Linked DNA regions of Danio rerio. The main gene of each other region encodes a partner of the protein of the gene in region 4 in a complex. Links are inferred from orthologs where the notes say so. Each region holds a gene or a part of one and is shown on either strand. Other genes may lie near its edges.

What was found.
Region 1: polr3f (region 4) and polr3k share a complex: the UniProt entries of both Homo sapiens proteins name them as parts of the RNA polymerase III complex. The link is inferred for Danio rerio from reciprocal best matches to the Homo sapiens genes POLR3F and POLR3K.
Region 2: polr3f (region 4) and zgc:171971 share a complex: the UniProt entries of both Homo sapiens proteins name them as parts of the RNA polymerase III complex. The link is inferred for Danio rerio from reciprocal best matches to the Homo sapiens genes POLR3F and POLR3D.
Region 3: polr3f (region 4) and crcp share a complex: the UniProt entries of both Homo sapiens proteins name them as parts of the RNA polymerase III complex. The link is inferred for Danio rerio from reciprocal best matches to the Homo sapiens genes POLR3F and CRCP.
Region 5: polr3f (region 4) and polr3c share a complex: the UniProt entries of both Homo sapiens proteins name them as parts of the RNA polymerase III complex. The link is inferred for Danio rerio from reciprocal best matches to the Homo sapiens genes POLR3F and POLR3C.

The regions. Positions count from the first base shown.
Region 1 is NC_133178.1:45,547,101-45,551,095, forward strand, and holds the start of polr3k (DNA-directed RNA polymerase III subunit RPC10), read left to right. Parts: upstream 1-1,191; 5' UTR 1,192-1,316; coding exon 1,317-1,427; intron 1,428-3,188; coding exon 3,189-3,276; intron 3,277-3,995. Other genes in the region: snrnp25 (U11/U12 small nuclear ribonucleoprotein 25 kDa protein), read right to left, coding at 581-772. UniProt on the Homo sapiens protein: Core component of RNA polymerase III (Pol III) which synthesizes small non-coding RNAs using the four ribonucleoside triphosphates as substrates. Can mediate Pol I proofreading of the nascent RNA transcript.
Region 2 is NC_133187.1:7,835,661-7,839,657, reverse strand, and holds the start of zgc:171971 (uncharacterized protein), read left to right. Parts: upstream 1-1,183; 5' UTR 1,184-1,237; coding exon of another isoform or gene 1,238-1,242; 5' UTR 1,243-1,266; intron 1,267-1,549; coding exon of another isoform or gene 1,550-1,550; coding exon 1,551-1,724; intron 1,725-3,891; coding exon 3,892-3,938; intron 3,939-3,997. UniProt on the Homo sapiens protein: DNA-dependent RNA polymerase catalyzes the transcription of DNA into RNA using the four ribonucleoside triphosphates as substrates.
Region 3 is NC_133196.1:33,906,778-33,910,933, reverse strand, and holds the start of crcp (DNA-directed RNA polymerase III subunit RPC9), read left to right. Parts: upstream 1-1,344; 5' UTR 1,345-1,377; coding exon of another isoform or gene 1,378-1,385; intron 1,386-1,949; 5' UTR 1,950-1,962; coding exon of another isoform or gene 1,963-1,981; coding exon 1,982-1,999; intron 2,000-2,089; coding exon 2,090-2,188; intron 2,189-4,156. Other genes in the region: asl (argininosuccinate lyase), read right to left, coding at 26-40. UniProt on the Homo sapiens protein: DNA-dependent RNA polymerase catalyzes the transcription of DNA into RNA using the four ribonucleoside triphosphates as substrates.
Region 4 is NC_133197.1:25,881,324-25,884,838, forward strand, and holds part of polr3f (DNA-directed RNA polymerase III subunit RPC6), read right to left. Parts: exon of another isoform or gene 3,331-3,515; intron 2,576-3,330; coding exon 2,468-2,575; intron 2,395-2,467; coding exon 2,203-2,394; intron 1-2,202. UniProt on the Homo sapiens protein: DNA-dependent RNA polymerase catalyzes the transcription of DNA into RNA using the four ribonucleoside triphosphates as substrates.
Region 5 is NC_133191.1:14,591,566-14,595,695, reverse strand, and holds the start of polr3c (DNA-directed RNA polymerase III subunit RPC3), read right to left. Parts: upstream 2,812-4,130; 5' UTR 2,719-2,811; intron 1,286-2,718; coding exon 1,139-1,285; intron 1-1,138. Other genes in the region: rnf115a (E3 ubiquitin-protein ligase RNF115), read left to right, coding at 3,396-3,593. UniProt on the Homo sapiens protein: DNA-dependent RNA polymerase catalyzes the transcription of DNA into RNA using the four ribonucleoside triphosphates as substrates.

The DNA.
Region 1 (3,995 bases), on a different chromosome or scaffold from region 4:
CCTACAGTGGCTCAATCAGAATATTATCAAGCTACGAGAATACATCTGTGTGCACATAAAACAAAAATAACTACTTTACTCAACAGTTTCTTCTCCTCAGTGTATTGCATGTGTTCACGAGTGGTGTGCACTTATGTACTGACTATGACTTCCTTAGTTTGAAACAATTCACAGACACATTTGAGGTAATAAGCAAGTCAGAGGTGCAACCAAACGCGGCACATAAATGTGAGCATTATACTGACACAGAGGAGAAGAAACTGTTGAAAAAAAATCTGTAGAATATAGAAGATTTTAAGCTGGAACTATTACCCTCTAGTATTTACAACTACATTATCAGCTATTCACAACCTGGACAAACAGCTCTGAGGAAGATTTTAAATATATTAAACTCAAAGTGATGGCGCTTCTTGACCACCATTATATAGATAACGTACATAGGAAAACATAGTTCTCAACTTAAAAAAAAAACGTATTTTCTGTTCTACTTAAGAACAGAATCTTGGGATGTCAATTAACCGAACATTTTAATATCTGGGTGAATTGTCCGTTTAAAACAGCCCCTTGACTGCATGTACACCTGAATGGGCAGGTCACACAGAAGCGGGTCCTGCACTATGAGAGCCAGCCCTTCTTCAAAGATGTCCAGAATTTCTGAGTGTGGAAGAGCCTCCTCGTCTTCTTCCTCTTCGTGCTCCTCTTTTATTTCATCTTCCACAGTTTTCTCCTCTAACTCTTTTTTGAGCTCGGTTTCGTCCTTTATTTCGTCCATTTTATCTTCAAACGTCTTGTTTTGAGGGTATAGAAATCCAAGACTTATAAAAAAGTCACTAAGCGTTAATAGTTAACATAACTACAATTTCGTAAAAAAACTGTACGCCTTTTGCAGAAGCTTATTGTATTAAAAATTGTAACTTTAACAATTTGAGCCGTTCCAGCATTTCTTTTTACATTTCATTTTTATAAACACGCTGTCGGAATATTTCAGTGATGCACCCGACTTTAGTTCCGCATAGGTTTTTTATGATTCACATTCTTTATTACAATAACAATCTTCTATTAAAATATTTTTTAATCAGCATTAATATATTCGTTGACATTTTCATATATATTTAAGTTTAATATATACAACAGAAACAGTGTTCATCCTTGTCTATATTTCGTTTTATGGCGAGCCAATAATACAGAGGCACATTGATTGTCATGTGCTTCCTGTAGCGACTTAGAAAGGACTGTGTGTAAATACCAACTTCAGTTGCATCAGAAAGAAACTATAACTGTATTTACTACGTAACATAATCTATGACTGTTTGAAAATGCTCCTGTTTTGTCCGACATGTGGGAATGTGTTAATCGTGGAAGAAGGACAGCGATGCTTTAGATTCGCGTGTAACACATGTCCATATGTGCACAACATCACGAGGAAGGTAATGCATAACACCGGTTATGGAAATTTGTATCTAATAAGCGTTTGGAACGTTTGATTCGAACGCATTAAAGTTCGACGGAACGCCGACATTTAAAAGTTCGATTCGAATGAAACGAAAGAAATGACTTGATTCGATAATATGAGAACGTGTGAGGAACATCTGATGAGATCAATGTTTCTAACATTACAAATTATATAACAAAAATAGATTTGAGTGAGGGAGTGTTTATGTTCTATCAAACATTGCTTTCAGAGCATGATAAATAACGCTGGGTTACTGAGTAGTTACTTAAATGAAATGGTTAAATGATTATAAGATTGTATTGTACTTTAAAATGCTCTTTATTTCATCACGTTATTATATTTATGTATAAAATTTACAGTTTTAGAATAAATTCTCATTAAAAGATATTTTGAATAATGCTGGCACCCATTTTCTACCATAGTAGGAAATAAGAGTTGATTGAAGTCAATGGATCCCAGCAACATTCTTCAAAATATCTTCTTTTGTTTAACAGAAGATATAAACTTACTCAATGTACTTAATAAACCAAGAACTTCGTTTATATTATCTTGAAAACGTAGGAATTAAAAATATTTTAGAAATTTTTTAGAAATATTGTTATAGCTTCAGGTGGATAAACATCTGGATACTTAAAAGTTTATATTTGATGTCACTTCATAGATACTTATGTATGTGTGTCTTATCATCAAATGTTCATTCATAAATTGCACATACTTCTGAATTAAATCAGCCACAGTGCCACACGCAGGTTAACATTTTACCACCACTCTTTACTTCTCTTGTGTCTATGAACTCCGTAACATTACAAAACTTCCCATCATGCCACCTGTTTCCCGTCTTAAAGACACAGATGCAATTATAGCACATGACAATACTAACTTCAGAATCATAACACAAAACCTGGATAAATAAATCACCTCTATAAACTACTGACATTGTTTTTAAAAGATAGCTCTTAAAAACTCATTTTTGCATCCCCCAAAATGCTGTTGTGCAAACAAATGGCCAAAACACATACAAGTTTTCAATGCTTAGTTGGTCTGTAAATGTAATTGGCTGTTAAGTGAAAAAGTCAATTTCAAACTCTGATTAGAATTCAAAATGACGCTGTTTTAGACACTGGTAACAACTGTATTTATACAGTGACATATTAAAGAAGAGCCACTTGTCATAGTATTTTTGCTATTTATGTCATTGATAGTTTTTTTCAACATTCCGCATATATATTCTTTAAAGTCTGTGTGAAATCCAAATTTACAGTGTTTATTTTACAAGCACACAATGCTATTCTTTAGGTAAATGATAAATCCATGCAAGCTAATTCACCGAAAAAAAAAATCTTTGTTCTGATAATCTTCAAAGTCTGACCATTTGCTCTGGCGTTTGGAGTGGCAGTCCTTCTCTGATGATGTCAGTTTGGCAGATGCATCCACAATATTCCTAACCACGCCCCTCTTACCTTTAGTTGATGAGGGAATGATGTGCAAAAAGAAAGCCCCGCCCCCTACTCAATATGCAGTTTCAGTTTGAGGTCCTTCAACATACTAAAATAAGTCTCAGCAACTTGCAGTAAAATTAAAAACACTTATAAATCACCTTGAACCATCCTTGTTTTTATTAGTATCTAACAATTGAAGCTTGTTTCTATGAGGGTTAGGTTTATGGTCAGGCATAGACAGTATCATTGACCTGATAAAAAAATAGGAAAACAAACCTGTTTATGTGCTTTAACAGGTAAACAACAGAAAGTACCCCAAACTGAAGGAGGTTGATGATGTTCTTGGAGGATCTGCTGCTTGGGAAAATGTGGATTCCACTGCAGGTAAACAAATGAAACTTGAAAAGTAAAGTTTGCTCACAAACTTATGGTGGATTGACTGAGACTAGTCTGAAAGTTTGAAGTAGTTTTAAAGTTTAATTAATTGAAATAGTTTTTAAGAATTTTGAAACAGTCGGCATAGATTGATAACTACATATAGGTCAGCATGTATCTAGTATGGATTGGTATGTTTTAGTATAGATTGGTATATGGTTAGTATGTTTCTAGTGTGGATTAGATTATTATAGTATGTTTCTAGTCTGGATTGGTATATTATTAGTATGTTTGTTAGTATGTTTCTAGTATGGATTTGTGTGTCCTTAGTATGTTTCTAGTGTGGTTTATGTCTCTAGTATAGATTGGTATATTGTTAGTATGTTTTAGTGTGGGTTAGTATATTTTTAGTATGTTTTAGTATGGATTGGTGTGTCCGTTAGTATGTTTCTAGTATAGATTGGTATATTGTTTGTATGTTTCTAGTATGGATTAGTATATTTTTATTATGTTTTATGGTATGAATTGGTGTGGCCTTGGTTTGTTTTTTAATGTGGTTTATTATGTTTCTAGTATGGATTGGTATATTTGGAGTATGTTATGTTTTTCTTCCATGGATTGGTATATTATTACTATGTTTCAAATGTGGATTAATATATTTTTAGTATGTTTGTTAGTATGTATCTAGTATGGATTGGTGTGTCCTTTAGTGTGTTTCTAGTGTGGTT
Region 2 (3,997 bases), on a different chromosome or scaffold from region 4:
CTTTAAATGTATTTACATTATTTTAATGAACAATATTTATTCATTATTGTGAAAAACTAGATATTATATTATATTATTATATCTTTTTCTAACAGGAATGATAAGCTCTCTGCTAGCAAAATATATAATATAATATAATATAATATAATATAATATAATATAATATAATATAATATAATATAATATAATATAATATAAATAGGAATAAAAAAGTGAGGGCAGCCAAAAGTTGAGTGCCGCCCTTTGTTCAATATGAGTTAGAAGAAGGGTGGATGGAAGGGGTCTGTGTCCCAAAACTTACTGAAGTGGTTACTTTTACAACAGTTTTTTATAAAATATGTTTTTATTTTTCACCTTTTCATTTTAGTTTTATTTTATACTTGTTAATGCATAATATTCAAAATAAATGTATTGTACAAATATTGAGTATATTTTACACAAAACACGAAATTTCATAGACAGTAGTTTTAAAATTCAGTCCGATAATAAACCATTTTATGACACAAAAGAGACCATATAAAAGGAATGAAATAAACTTTAAATAAATATGTTTAAAATGTTTGTGCATTAAATTAAAACTATAAATAAATATGTTTAAAATGTTTGTGCATTAAATTAAAATTTACCATTTACAATTTTAAAGAGTATTTATGAAATACAGTCCAGAGTTATTATAGTATATCATTATATAGGCCTAATACAATATGATATTTATAAAAATAGCTATAAATATATATGTAAATAGATTTGAAACAAAATGTTTATTTATTGTTCAGATAAAATAACCGTTAAAAACAAAATATTTAAAATTAGTTCATTATTATTTAATATACAGCACTTATAATTTTTTTTAAGTTAAAAGTTTATTAATATTTTATTAATTGAGAGTTTATTAACAAAACCATCATGATGACACCATAAGACTAAATGGACAAATAAAAACTTTAAATATATTTTATTTATTTTTATTAAAAAATTTGTTATTGTGATAAATATAATATAAAATGATATAATAATATAAAATAAAATATAATATAGATGATATATAAAATAATAATATGTAAATATTAAAAAATGATATATAATATAATATAATATAATATAATATAATATAATATAATATAATATAATATAATATAAAATGTCTGAGTAATCTTTTCCTAACAGAGGGCTCGTGTCACGTGACCAATGATGCTCCTGCAAGGATGTAGCTGTCAGCTGGAAGAGTTCGGCAGATATGATGTGAGCAGTTTACACAAATTTCAAGTACGTATAGTATTTATTTTCACTTATCTCTAATGCAGCCGTGCGCAGCATTTTTAAATATGTCCGTCTAAATGTCATAAAGTGCTATGAAAGGCTTTGTTTTGATAGCATAGGTTGCTAACAAAATGGAGGCGCGCGCGTCTTGAAATCCAAGTCAGCGCACATTTAGTGTATTTTGAACGAGCGTTTCTCTTGGAAAATTAAGGTTTTCACCTTTGTTTGAGTCTGAGTAATCACATATTGCACGCTGCTCAGTAGGGTTTGTTGTTTGTGTGTTTGGCAGGATGTGTGATCATGGAGATGGGGACGCGGAGGCGAGCTCATCTTCCACTTTCAGACCGTCTTTTGCTCTGGGCAACGTTAAAGGACTGCCAGGGAGAATTTCACACAATCCTCCTCCACCAGGCAGACTGACCTCCCTGCGGTCCAGAGACCTGACCCTGGGAGGATTTAAAAAGGTTACTCATTCTAATACCTTTTTAATGCTGTTTTTAATCTTTAACAAAGACAAAAGATTGGTTTAAAGGGATAGTTCACGCAAAAAAATAAAAATTCTGTCATCATTTACTTACTCTTTCCTTGTTTCAAACCTTTAACGTTATTCGTTTCTGTCTTGTGTTGAATTTATTGAATTACTTGTTTGTGTTTTGGATGTTTATTGTTTTGTCCATGTTTGGGCTCTTGCCCTCAGCTGCAGTCATCACAAGACAAATTTCCCTAACTGGGACAATAAAGTTTTACCTTACCTTACCTTAAACACAAAATAAATAATTATGAAAAATGCTGGAAACCTGTAACTATTATTGAGATTTTAAATTTGGTTTTGTATTCGCTCGTTCATTCAGAACTTGTGATATGATCATTAGGCATGGGCCGATACAAGATTCTGACGGGATGATAACCTTGGATAAAAAATATCACGGTTTCACAGTATTGTGATTACTTCTCTAAAATATATTCTTTTTAAATCTCTGGGTAAAAAACAAACTTTTTTTCCACTTTAAATACAAAAAATTTACTTTGAGAAACATTTTAAATATTTTCCAACAGTAAACATGTCAGGCTACAGTAAATAATTAAAACAAGTCTTTGACTTCTGCTGTCTTCATTAGTTTCAAAAACTCAAATTTCTTTACAATTTAAAGTAGCACCTTTAGATATGTTTTTGTTGTCGGAGATTTGTCCTAAAAAAAAACAAAACAAAAAAAAATAAAAAAAAAACGAGATAAAATAAATAATAATTAAAATATAAATAAAAAAAACAAACAAATACATACCTTAGGAAACGGTATAGCAAAAGATTTCGGCAGTTTTAAAACCTTGATTTTTCCAAACCGCAGTACACCTCGAAAACGGTTATTGTCCCATGCCTAATGCTCACTATATCGTTTACGGTAACTTGGTTAAGTTAGTTTTATATTCACACATTCATGCTTTCTCCTTAATAATATAACTAGAGAAAAGTATTGTTTGCAAATTCTAAATAATGAATTAATATTAGCAGCCAACAACTGTCAAAGGGAAACATTAACAACTAAAGTCAGTTAAATAGTGCCAATGTTGTTTTGAAGACATCCTTACATGCTATTTCAGACTGAATAGTCAAAGTAGCTTGTTGAACAATACAGGGAGCGTGTCACAAGTTGTCGCTGTTAAAAACTGAACAATCGTGCGAATACAAAATCAACTTTACCTTAGTATTGTTTACCATAGTACTTTATCAGGAATATTAGGACTGAAATCACATGTAACTTCAAAACAACATTAGCACTATTTATTTGGCTGTGGACAATGTTGTATAATTGTGATACAACATTAATAAAACAATAATACTTGTTTGAAATTATATTATTAAGGAGAAAGTCAGAATGTGCGAAAATAAAACTAACTTTACCACATTGTAACCAGTGATTTTCTTAGTATTTGTTTTTCCTACTATGGTGGTCAATGGTTACAGGTTTTCAACATATTCAAAATATCAAATTTTGTTTAATTGAAGAAAGAAATGTATAATGGTTTGTGGGTGAGTTCATTATTACATTTAAAATATTCAGTGAACTATTCCTTTAACTTATGTTACTTGCATTGTGCTTTTTTACAATAAAAACATGGTTTCAAACCTGCTTTGGAGAAAATTATGAAGAAAATGTAAATGTGCAGCGCATTTTTTTAAAACCATAACCATTAGGATATATTTGTATAATACAATTTAACATGATCACATAACATGATAACATGATCTATCTATCTATCTATCTATCTAATAAATGCAGGTTAAATTTACATGAATGCACCTGTTACTTTAAATTACACTAGAATAATATTATTTTACCCATATTCTTGACATTTTACTTTCTCTAAAGTCTGAGACATCAAATTATAGACACTTCATTACATTGAATATTCTTTTTAATATTAAATTAAATTAAATTTTTTGTAAATTGTTTTTAATGCAGACATCAAATTAGGTCATCATGTCAATGCCTCATACTATGTTTATACTTGTCAGTTTATTAGAATTTTAGTCTAATTACTATCTGGTCATGTGTAATAAATATGAGTGTTACTTTAATAATGAACCAAGCAATTATTAATTGACTCGCTGTGTTTTTATTTCCCTTGCAGAAAACCTTTGTTCCAAATGTTCACTCCGTTCGCAAAAGTAAAGATGAGTAAGTATTTTTAAAGATCTCATTCTATTGCTTTGTTTGGTATTTGTAGTACTCGTGCT
Region 3 (4,156 bases), on a different chromosome or scaffold from region 4:
TCAGAAATTAAATAGCTATATTTACCTCTGAACTTGCCATTGTAACAGTCTCTAGAGTAGCGACCTACGTGCGATGAGCAAACGGAAAACTAAAGCGTATGATTCAAACAGAATGAGGAAATGTCATATAATTAAAGGAACAAATCAGTGCTTTTAAGTATTCGAGGGATAAATTACAGTAAGAGCCTGCACATCCAACAGCGACCGGACTGCATTTCCTCCTCGTTTATTTTGGGACCAAGCACGCCCCGCCCATAATATGCAAATGAGGTGTTTGTGAACTAATCAAAATCATAAGCGCGATTTTTCGGGAGCTGTCGTTCATTTGAGTAACCAATCCCGTCAACTATACCGAAGGCTACAGAACCGCCTCTCTTAAGGAAAATACACTTTTATAAATCAGCATGCAGTGACGGTCATGGACGATGGATGGCGTCATTGTCTAATTAAAATGAAAGATAATGCTTTAATGGGGCGACACGGTGGCTCAGTGGAAAGCACTGTGGCCTCACAGCAAGGTGGCATGTCTGTGTGGAGTTTGCATGTTCTCCCCGTGTTGACGTGTGTTTTGCTCCGGTCCATATGTGGGTGATTGTTAATAAAGTGTGTATGGATGTTTCGCAGTACTGGATTGCAGCTGGAAGTGCATCAGCTATGTAAAACATATGCTGTATAAGTTGGCGGTTCATTCCGCAGTGGCAACCGCTGATGAATAAAGGGACTAAGCTGAAGGAAAATGAAAGAATAATGCTTTCATGTATTTATAAAATAAATTCGTCCACAGAGAACTTGTGATTTATGTCATTAGTTTTAGGATGTGTTTAGGATATAACGTAAAATGAATATTAGGGGAAAAAACATTAACCAATTTTTCATCATATGTTTAATTTAGCTGTTTAATCATTTTAACCAATACTACGCCATTTAAAGCAGCCTGCAGCCTTATTTAGATAACATACAGATTTCAATCTTAATTTTTGGAAATACCTTGATGGTATCATTTACAACTAAAATTTGCATTATGGTCCGAGACTAGATCTTGTTCTTCATTCATCAGGGTTTATCTATACCAACAATATGCAATACTGTCATTTTACCTAAAATATATATATATATATATATATATATATATATATATATATATATATATATATATATATATATATATATATATATATATATATATACATTCTATTAATTCATTGTTGGTGCAATTATAATCTATACATAGTAAACAAAAAATATTGAAATCTTATCTGTTTTAAATATTTGTAGCATTTGAACCGATTTGAACAAGACGACTGAGGGGGAACGTTTAACACAGCTTCGTTTTCTCGACGGATTGTTGTTAGATGTTGAACCAACAAAGCGAGCAGGATGGAAGTGTAAGCAACATATTTTACTTTTATATGTTTATATTCGAGAACATTTATTTTCCCTTTTTAGTTAAAATACTTATTATGTGGTGGTCTGACGGGGAAAACTACTTTGCAGGATAACAATGACAATGGAATGCTGCTCACGTGGACATCCTCGTTATAACGACAAACTGCATAACGTTATGTTGTAATTCCTACTGTGTTTTTTAGGTGTAAACATGATTCACAGAATACGTCTTAAAAATCTTATCCACAAGCCCTTCACATAGTCTTTAAAGTTTTAAATTTATAGCCAATGGATTTAGTGTGTCTCTGACTAGTTTTGCTTGTAAATACAAACTCTAAACAGTGATCTAACAGTGTTAAATCAAAATTTAAGAATCAAATTTTTAAGAGATGACAATACATTAGTAATTTTAGAAACTGAACAAAAATAAACGTTGTTAATCTTTTATATTAAAAACGGTAAATGTTGAAATATTTTTTACTGTACCTTCTGCACATTGTACTCATTTATTAATTTCCGGTTACTGTACATGATTTAAAGTAAACTAATAATAATATTAATAGTATTCTTTTGTAGGAGGGATGCCAATGCTGCTATGCTGAGCAATTATGAGGTCAGTATGAATTTTAAAACTTTCGAATAAAAAAACAAAAAGTGTACTTTTTATTGTTTGTGGCTATAGAAGTGTTCTCTACTCCACCAGGTCTATCAGCTGCTGACAGACCTGAAAGAAAAAAGAAAGGAGATGGTTAAAAATAAGCACAGCACCGGGCAGCAGAATCTCAACACCATCATGTATGAGGTGCTTGTTTTTTGATGTGATCTAACAAACATCTCCAGATGCAGCAAAACAGGCTATCTCCTTGAATGTGACAGAATGTTTAATTCCTCCTGAGGACTTGAAACCCACAGTCCATTTGTTCATAAACGAAACATGGCAAAGAGAATGGGACAACTGCATAAATAATAAATTGCATGAAATTAACCCGAAAATAAATGAAAGACGTTTAGCAAATTATAATTTTCAGACTAGGCATGATCAGATGGCCTACACCAGATGTGGAATTGGAGGATTGGATTTTAAGTTGACACATTTATATTTACTGAAAAAAGAAGCACTACGTAAATGTAATTACTGCCAGGCTGCTCTTACCATAAAACATGTTTTGTTGGAATGTAGAAGTTTAAATTCCATTAGACAAAATTATTTTAAAGAGGGTACTTCAGTGGACACTTTTAAAAAGGTACCATCAGGAAGAGTTTTAAATTATTAATTAAAAAATTAACTGAAAAATCATATTTGACTTTGAATATTTTTTTTGTGTGAATTTTTTTGTATTTATATTTTTTATATTCGTGTAAGTAACTTTTTTTATTGTAATACGAATTCGTTTTTTCATGTAATATTTTATGAATATCCATTTTGCCACGAAATAGCCATAAGTTGCTGATGTGGCAATAAATAATAAATTAATAAATAAACAAACACCTCCAAATTGGACTAGGTGATATGACAAATCATGTATAATGATATGTCATCTCATATATTGATAACGATATATATCTTACTATATAGTAACATTTCTAAAATTCAATTCATTAATAGTTTGTATTGACCACATGTAAAAGACTTTATCTAGATTTATTTTTTTTTACAATTTAAAGTACATACTCAGAGATATACTCGTATGTGATCATATTCCTCCCTTTATTTAGAATTTCAGGGCAAATATTTGATTGAGAAGGTATAAATATAAAGCACATATTAATAAAGTATATAAAACACTTTTCAAAAACCAATGATTACAGGTCCAACATTGCTAAATAATGTAAACATTGTACTTTCAAGATTGCAACTTTCTTATGATGCAGGGATGATCTGGTCAACACGCATATACAAGTATTACTGTTAACTCCACAAAATAAACTATATATATATATATATATGTGTGTGTATATGTGTGTATATGTGTGTATATGTGTGTGTGTGTGTGTGTGTGTGTGTGTGTGTATATGTGTACACACACACACAGGGGTTGGACAATGAAATTGAAACTCCTGGTTTTAGATTAATTTATAATTCATTAGTATGGTGTAGGGCAGGGATGTCAAACTCAATTCCTGGAGGGCCGCAGCCCTGCACAGTTTAGTTCCAACCCTGCTCCAACACACTTACCTGTAGGTTTTAAACAAGCCTGAAGGACTTAATTAGTTTGATCAGGTGTGTTTAATTAGGGTTGGAACTAAACTGTACAGGGCTGCGGCCCACCAGGAATTGAGTTTGACATCCCTGGTCTAGGGCCTCCTTTTGCAGCCCAGCCAATACAGCATCAATTGGTCTTGGAAATGACAGATACAAGTCCTGCACAGTGGCCAAAGGGATTTAAGCCATTCTTCTTGCAGAATAGTGGCCAGGTTACTTTGTAATGCTGGTGGGGAAAATGTTTTCTACCTTGCTCCCCCAAAACACTCCAGAGTGGCTCAATAATATTTAGATCTGGTGAATGTGCAGGCCATGAGAGATGTTCAACGTTACTTTCATGTTCATCAAACCACTCTGTCACCAGTCTTGCTGTGAGTCTTGTTGCATAATCATCCTGATACACGACACTGGCTTCAGGAGTGCACATGGTCCTCCAGAATATTTTGGTAGTCCTAGGCAGCGACATTCCCACTTAGCATAAGTATTGGGCCTAGAGAATGCCATGATATTGCAGCCCAAACCGTCACTGATCCACCCTCACGCTTCACTCTTGGTGGTACGCTTATT
Region 4 (3,515 bases):
TGCTGTGAGGCGACAGCACTATTTACTGCGCCACTGCATCGCCCCATAATGCGTGTGTACGATGTATTTATTATATAGACACTATGCAGTTTCTTGACCACAATGAGAGCATAAATCCTAGCAATATTGTCTTTTTAATTTTCTGTCAGTATAAATAAAAGCTACAATTTTATATAATACAACGTGACTACAGAAGACTCGAGCTTTAAATAGGAAAACTATTAACATTTTTTTAATTCTTTCAACGAAATGCAAATGGTCTAATCCAATTTAATGCATTATGCTAAGCTAAGCTAAAAGAGACGCCTCCAGAAAGAAAGAAATCGTCTAAATGGATTCAAAAATGTTTCAAGTTAACTGTTAAACTCTAGGAGACTAGTGAAAAGAGCATGTTCCTGTAATGCTGTGTCCACACCAGATGTGGCATGCGCTATTCGCTCGTTTATAAATGTGTGAACATTTTGAGTTTACTCGCTTCATTTGTGCATCATCCGCTTCACAACAGATGCAGGATCGCATCATGGTTAGGGCTTGTCTTCCTGGCAACTGTAGCTTTGTTGCTAAATGGCTAACATAGATTTTATTGAGTGAATAGCTGTTTTTACGTGCTTTATGAAGGCTGAAAAACAGCATCAATTCGTTTGGAGCCATGTCTGAGTCCACTATATCCTTTCTGAGTTGCAACCAGCTCTGTGAGTTCATAAACTCCTCCAGAAACATAATCTGGATGATGGAGGCATTCAGCAGTGCTTCTGATTGAGCCGAGCCCAGTTTGATCAACGGTTGTCAGTGTCGGCAGGGGGATTTTCCCTCAGGACACCAACAACAGGCGCTACGTCATAAGCATACCCCATACAAGAACAAGCTCCTGATTGGTTAATGTGGTGAAGCCTCCTGATTGGTTAACTGTCTGCTGAAGTTCAGATTTTACCAAATCGGGCAATTCGCTCGAAACGCACGTCAAGTGTATCAATAGCGCAAAATGCTCAACTTGCACCACATCATTCGCGCCACCTCATTCGCGTGTATCGCGCAGGATATATATTCGCAGCTTTGCTTTGACTTAACATGTAAATCACTCGCACTTGGCACTTCTTCCGCGTCTGGTGTGGACGCAGCAAAAGAGTTAAACTTAGATTCAGACCATTCAAATTTAGATATAAGAATTGCCAAACTAAGAATGCAGAATAAATAATTGATACTGATATTAAACATCATAACAATCAGAATTCAGAACCCCTAAATTTGGAATATTCAGACTCGTCAAATTGTCGAATCTACTCAAATTAAGAATTCAGAGTCATCATATTCAGAATTCAGACCAACCAATTCAGAAAATGTAGAAACCAACATTTTAAATCCAAAATACTGCTTCATACAATACAGAATTATGAAGATTCCTAATACAGACTAGGGCTGCATGAATTCACAATATTTTATTTATACGATATATATTGTGATATTGAATCAAAAATTTCACCAGATGAATTGAATAAGTCTTTTTGGAAAGAGAGACTGAATCTACATAAAATATAATAAACCAATCACAAACATTGAGATATATAATAGTGCACTACACCATACAGATTAAATAAACAGTGCTTTTTGATTTGTCTGGAAGTCTAACAATATTCACATACATAAATGTAAAATAACACTGTATGGTCTTTGTCGTATAAAATATATATATAAATACAATGAATCGCTTTTAAAGTTAGAAACATTTTTTTATGCCTAAATATTTTAATCTAACTTAAATGATAAAGACACACATAAGTAATACATGTCTTGTATGTTTATGGTTAAACGTTGCAATACCTCCACAAATCATGAGAGTTTCAAATGTAGCTCCTGGTCAAAAATAATACCTGTTCAACATTGCAGATCCTGCGATGTGACTATTGCAAAATGCGCATATTGTGATATCGATGCTGAAACTACATATTGTGCAACGCTCATACAGACTCTTCAGAATTCCCAATCACCACATCTAGGATTCAGACTAAGCCCAATAAGAATTCAGGCTTTAGAATTATCAATTTCAAATCAGACTTATCAAAATCAAGACGGAAATTTAGATTTAACCGATACAGACTCAGGCACAGTAATTCATATTGGAAACATTTTAGAACATTCTGAATTACTCCATTCAGACTTGTTTAATAGTTTCTTTCAAAAAAAAAAAAAACAGTAAAGGTTTACCGGGCACAGTCCACATGGTGTTTTAACCAGGCCAGTGGGTTGAATTATGGGATTGACTCCCCTGTAGAGCTTCATCTGTCCATCCACACTCCCTACTGTTCCCTCTTTAGCGGCAATTATGGTCATTTCCACTTTTCCATCAAAGATCAGTGTGTTCAAGATGGTCTCGATGTCCTCCATGGACAGATCCACCTGCACACAGGAGCAGCATATTATACTGAATTTTTCCGTTCATGTTTTCAGAAAGCATATTATTGACACTCACTTTGCTGATGCCGAGCTCACAGATGTATTTCCACACTTCATGAGAGGTGGCAAATGAGCTGTTTCTCTGCACCATAGGGCTCTGCTTACTATCTCTCGCTGTTTCAGCCTAAAAAACAAACATATTGCTAATTATTAAAAATTTCACATTTTTAAGTAAATGCAGGGTTTATTTTACTGTAAAATATGGATAAAACTAAATTCCATCATTCAGTCATCATTCACAAAGGTGGAGTGTTTCTTTAAGAGTCAAATTTGGAAATAACCAAATTAGGAAGTCAGAATCAACAATTCACACTAATATTCAAAAATCATCACATTCAGAATTCAGAACCGTTGAATTTGGAAAATTGAGACTCAACTTCAATCAACTTCAGAATTAACTTACATATTTCTGATTAATTCGGTGTCACACTAGTAAGTTGAAACGCAGTTTAAGGTTTGCTTTCACACCTATAGATCAATTTTTTTGTTCTGAAAATTGCTACAATGTTGCTTTTTGTTCTTGATGCGTTTTGCTTTCACATGACAAAGTTTATAGACAGATCAAAATAATTAAAACAAGCAACTGAACACCGAAGCGCTCTAGATTTTAAGCCGAGACCATCTCATTCATTCATTTTGGCATTCATAAGAACTCAATCGCGGATTTCACATATGCCCAAACAAAAGCTAAGGTGGCAAACGTGCCACATTACGAAACAAACGTCTAGCTCAAAACTTTTTTTTAATGGGTCTGCTTAAGTTATGATTAACTGATATTTGGCTTTGTTATTTACTAATGCGGGTTTCTTAACCTGATAAAAGGATTCACCTTAAAATAACCCAGAGAATTTTATTTCTTATAAAATTATTTATTATTTTACATTTATGCAAACAGAATTTATTTATTTCTTATTTTAATATGTTAAGGTGAAATAAGAGACAATAATTTATCTATGTTAATTAATAGCATCATTTATACAGTCATACAGTTATATCCATTAGATTTTAATTAATGACTGCCAAAACAAAAAGTTTTTTTTTTTCAGTAGACTGTCTTGCCTGGA
Region 5 (4,130 bases), on a different chromosome or scaffold from region 4:
CATGGCAGTCGATTGAAGTCAGACTGCAGACGGAAATTATTGAGTCTCTACCCAAAGATGAAACCTCAGCATTAGCCCGGCATTGAGCAGTTGGAAACTACTGGAAACTACATGCTACAAAGAATACTTCATCGGTCGTTTGTTAAAGAAAGGATCAGTAAAGACTGCTGATGGACATGCCAGGACATGGATCGGTTTCTTCCTCCATTTCTTAAGTGTAAGTACGTGCGATTAAAGTTGTTGCCTCGTTTACTCTAGCTTGCAAATGTATTTAGTTATGATTTGTTACTTATAACCGCTTGTACTGTATCAGGTTAACTCGCTATATTCTCGTATCGTGTGCAAAGCCACGTTAAAAAATGTGACGCGTGCCGCTTTGTTTGCGGACCTCTGTGGAGGAGGGTAATGTGTGTGTGTGTGTGCGCGTTGTCGTCCGGAGGAGGATTATGTGTGTGTGTGTGTGTGTGTGTGTGTGTGTGTGTGTGTGTGTGTGTGTGTGTGTGTGTGTGTGTGTGTGTGTGAAAAGAGCAGAGTGTGACAAGCTAGGAGATCTCCTCGCCAATTCTTGGAGTTTTTGCTCAATAAAATAGTTAGTCGTTGGTATTTTCAAGTCCATCGCCTGTATTTACATTCACCCACTGGCAGCTAAAATCCACACCTTACAATATGAAGTGTGTATGCACTGTGACTACTTCTATATTGTTGATTAGCTGCTGGGCATTTCACTGTCTCTCGCTGAAGGTAGTCAGTGTCGACCAATCGCAACAGACTGTCATCGGTCCAATCAGCGCAGATTAGTTTCAAGCTAAGGAGGGGTTTGGGAACAAATGAATCACTGGACGATTCATATGGTAGTCGCTGGGATAATTATGTAAAAATAAATGCAAATTATAAGACCATGAAAGTGTTTTTTGACCTTGCATGCATATTAGACTGTTGTTGGAGACCCTTACAGCCCTATTTCATGTATAATATGGGCTCTTAAAAAATATAAACATTTCAGATTCCAATTTTTTTTTTTAATAGTTTTATTCTGTTTGGATTTTGGAAACAATGGATATCCTATCCTAACAAACCACACATCCAAGAGAATCTTATTTTTTAAGCTATCAAAGAAAGCTTTAAATAGTGACATTACCAGGTCAAGAGCCAGTTTGGTCTCATGGGCAAGAGCTCTCAAGGTCAGAACTCCATTGCGGATGAGATGAGTGCCCACATTTTCCACCACATCACCAAAGTGCTCCTGCAGCAACAGCCCACACAGACGCACCTCCTGTGCTGTCATCTGTAGGACAGAGAGCAACAATCAAATCACAATCTGTAGTCAATTTATCTATGAATAATGTATAATTCTTTTTAGACATGTCAACTTGCAAACTAGTGTTGGTTGGTTTTTTTGCTCTAATTGCACAATTAGTTTTTTTCCAGCCTATTCTTGTTTCAGACTTGCACACAAAACGCATTGCAATCAATTTCCAAAATGTCACTTGTGGGAAAATATTACAAAGCCTGGGATTTTAACAGAGACCAGAGATGCTGAGAATGGATAACAAGACAGAACAGCACACAATATGCTGAACCAGGCAAAGTAAGATTTTTGTAAGGATCTCAGATTTTTGTTCTTTATTAAAAACACTTTACAAATGTACAAACCTTGTCATTGTCCTCAGCCAAATTGAACGTTCAGGTTTAATAATTTTGTGATGCTAAAAACTGTTATTTAGAAAAAAGAAAAACTTCAGAAATAGCAAGTTTAAGTTGCTATCATACACGTAAACTGATTAAAAACATGAAATTATAAAGTCTACAAATAATTACTACAAATATATATTACAAATACTTTTACAATTGTCCCCATGTTTCTGTCAGTCCTGTCACATTTGCCTTAAATTTAACATAAAATGTGTGCTATACACCTTTAAGGCTATGACTTGGAAGTGGCATCATTTGATGGGGAAGCAGACATCAAGGATACATTCTATCATTAAACTGTTTTATTTTTTATTTTAATTATTTATTTATTTATTTATTTTTTTGAGGAAGACAAGCTTAAAGGTCAGGCCCTGTCATTTATTTTATAAATAAAAATGTATGTTTCTGGTAGAATGTCTCATATATTTGGAAATCATTAAATCTAATTTGTACAGAGCACCTTTGTATATGCCTCATATGTAGTTTTCTATAGGTCAGCAACTAAAAAGGCAAATCAAATATTGTTCATGCACTTGATGTTCTTGTTCAGTCACTTAATGTAATCATTTTTCAATGTGTGCATACAGTTGTCAACATTTAGTGAATCAACTTTGATGAATATGTTGACTAATATGTTATCAGTTATTAATGTTTACATACATGATTTCGTGTTATTTATGGTCTACCCACATTTCCTTATTAATAAAACTGCTCACAATTTTAATATTACAGTTTTCCTCCTTAATCTGTAACGTTTACCTGTAACCATCAAAAATACATGTAAAGTCTTGTAACTATACATGGAGTTACTAGAAACACAAGCTACACAAGCTATAACTAAAAGCATCAGTTTAAAAACAAAACATTTTGTCAACAAAGTGCAAAAGTAAACATTCATATTTGCGTTTTGACTGGCTACTAACACTGGATTAGCGCAGAATTAGTTGTTGTCTGGCCTTTCCACAAAGCAAACATCTCACAAAGGCTAAACAAAGCACAGATGCACATGCTTAAAGACAAACTTACCTCTAAAAAGTAAGTTATCTAGATATCCGTATGTGTTATTTAGATGAGTTCACACTTTTTGATCTCACGTGTGTTGTCCAGACGGTGTGCAACGACAAGCACTGACGAATTTCCGTGGTTTGATCACGTGGAGGCGGAGCTCTGGTGTGTGAAGCTTGAGTGAATCGCTATCATGAACGGAATCTTTTTGCGGATCAAAAGAACCGAATGAATAATGAAAAATGAATCACTGTTTACTCACACTCGGGTGTTTTTTATGAAATTACTTTTTTTTATTTGAATAAACAAAAGGGTATTTTGAAAAAAAAAATGTTAGGAAATATCAGTTTCAGGAAAAAATACTATTTAAGTAGTTTTTGTTTTGTTTGTCAGAAGTCAAACAGGTTTGTAGGTAGAAGAATATTTTTTTGGAGTGAACTACAATTATCAGAGTAAAGTTCAATTAGGTGAATTACATGCTAACATATAATATTAGACTGACATAATAGCATATATAATAATATGTAATGGTCTTTTTTTGTTTTAATTTTACATTGTTCTCGAATAAAGCCCTCTCTGATCCCTGTAATACTAGTAAAACGCACACTTCACACAGCCTTATGTAAATAATTTTGACTCAGTATGTTGTTTTGATCAGCTCAGTCAAACGACTCCCCTGAGTGAGTCGACTCGCCTCAATGACTCGCACTACTGAGTGCTCATTGCCAAAGCACCTCCCTCTGCAGTGGGCGGACCGACGCTCGGCCAGCGCTGCTGCTGCTGTTGCTGTTTGGGACACAGGCAGTCTCACAGAAAACATGGCGGAGGCTGCTGCGGTCCCTCCGCATCGCTTCTTCTGTCACTGTTGTAAGGGTGAAGTGAGTCCCAAACTACCGGTGAGTCCGTGTCGCTGGTAGCGCGCAGCCGGCTCAAGTTAATGTCTTTCTGTAGTTCTGCTGTCGCTCTCGCAGGTTCCGCTGTTGTGCTAAAGTTAGCATGTTAGCAGTGTATCAGCCTGATGTGGGCGAAAGGCCTGTCGTGGTTTGTTGTTTGTGTATAAACACTAAAAAACACATGTATTTACCGATGACCGGTTTTATTAGATGTTAGACAGGTGCTTGTTAACGTAACATAAGCGGAAACCAACAGGTTTTGTGTTTAGCACCAATGCTACACTCATTTCTTGTGTTTTTGTACTGTAAATGATGACTTTTTCACATTTCACGACATGTTCAGTTTTGATAAGTGTTCAGTTATTAATGTCAGCTTTTAGAAACTTTCAGAAATGTCCTTAAATCACATCGACACTGAACTCTTCTCAGAAGTGAAACCGGAGTGCTAATGTTTCTGTTTCTGTTTTACTTGTTTATAATGTCGCATTTGCCGTAAATTATATCACAAATTCTGCAATGAACGTCAACATTTAGCACTTG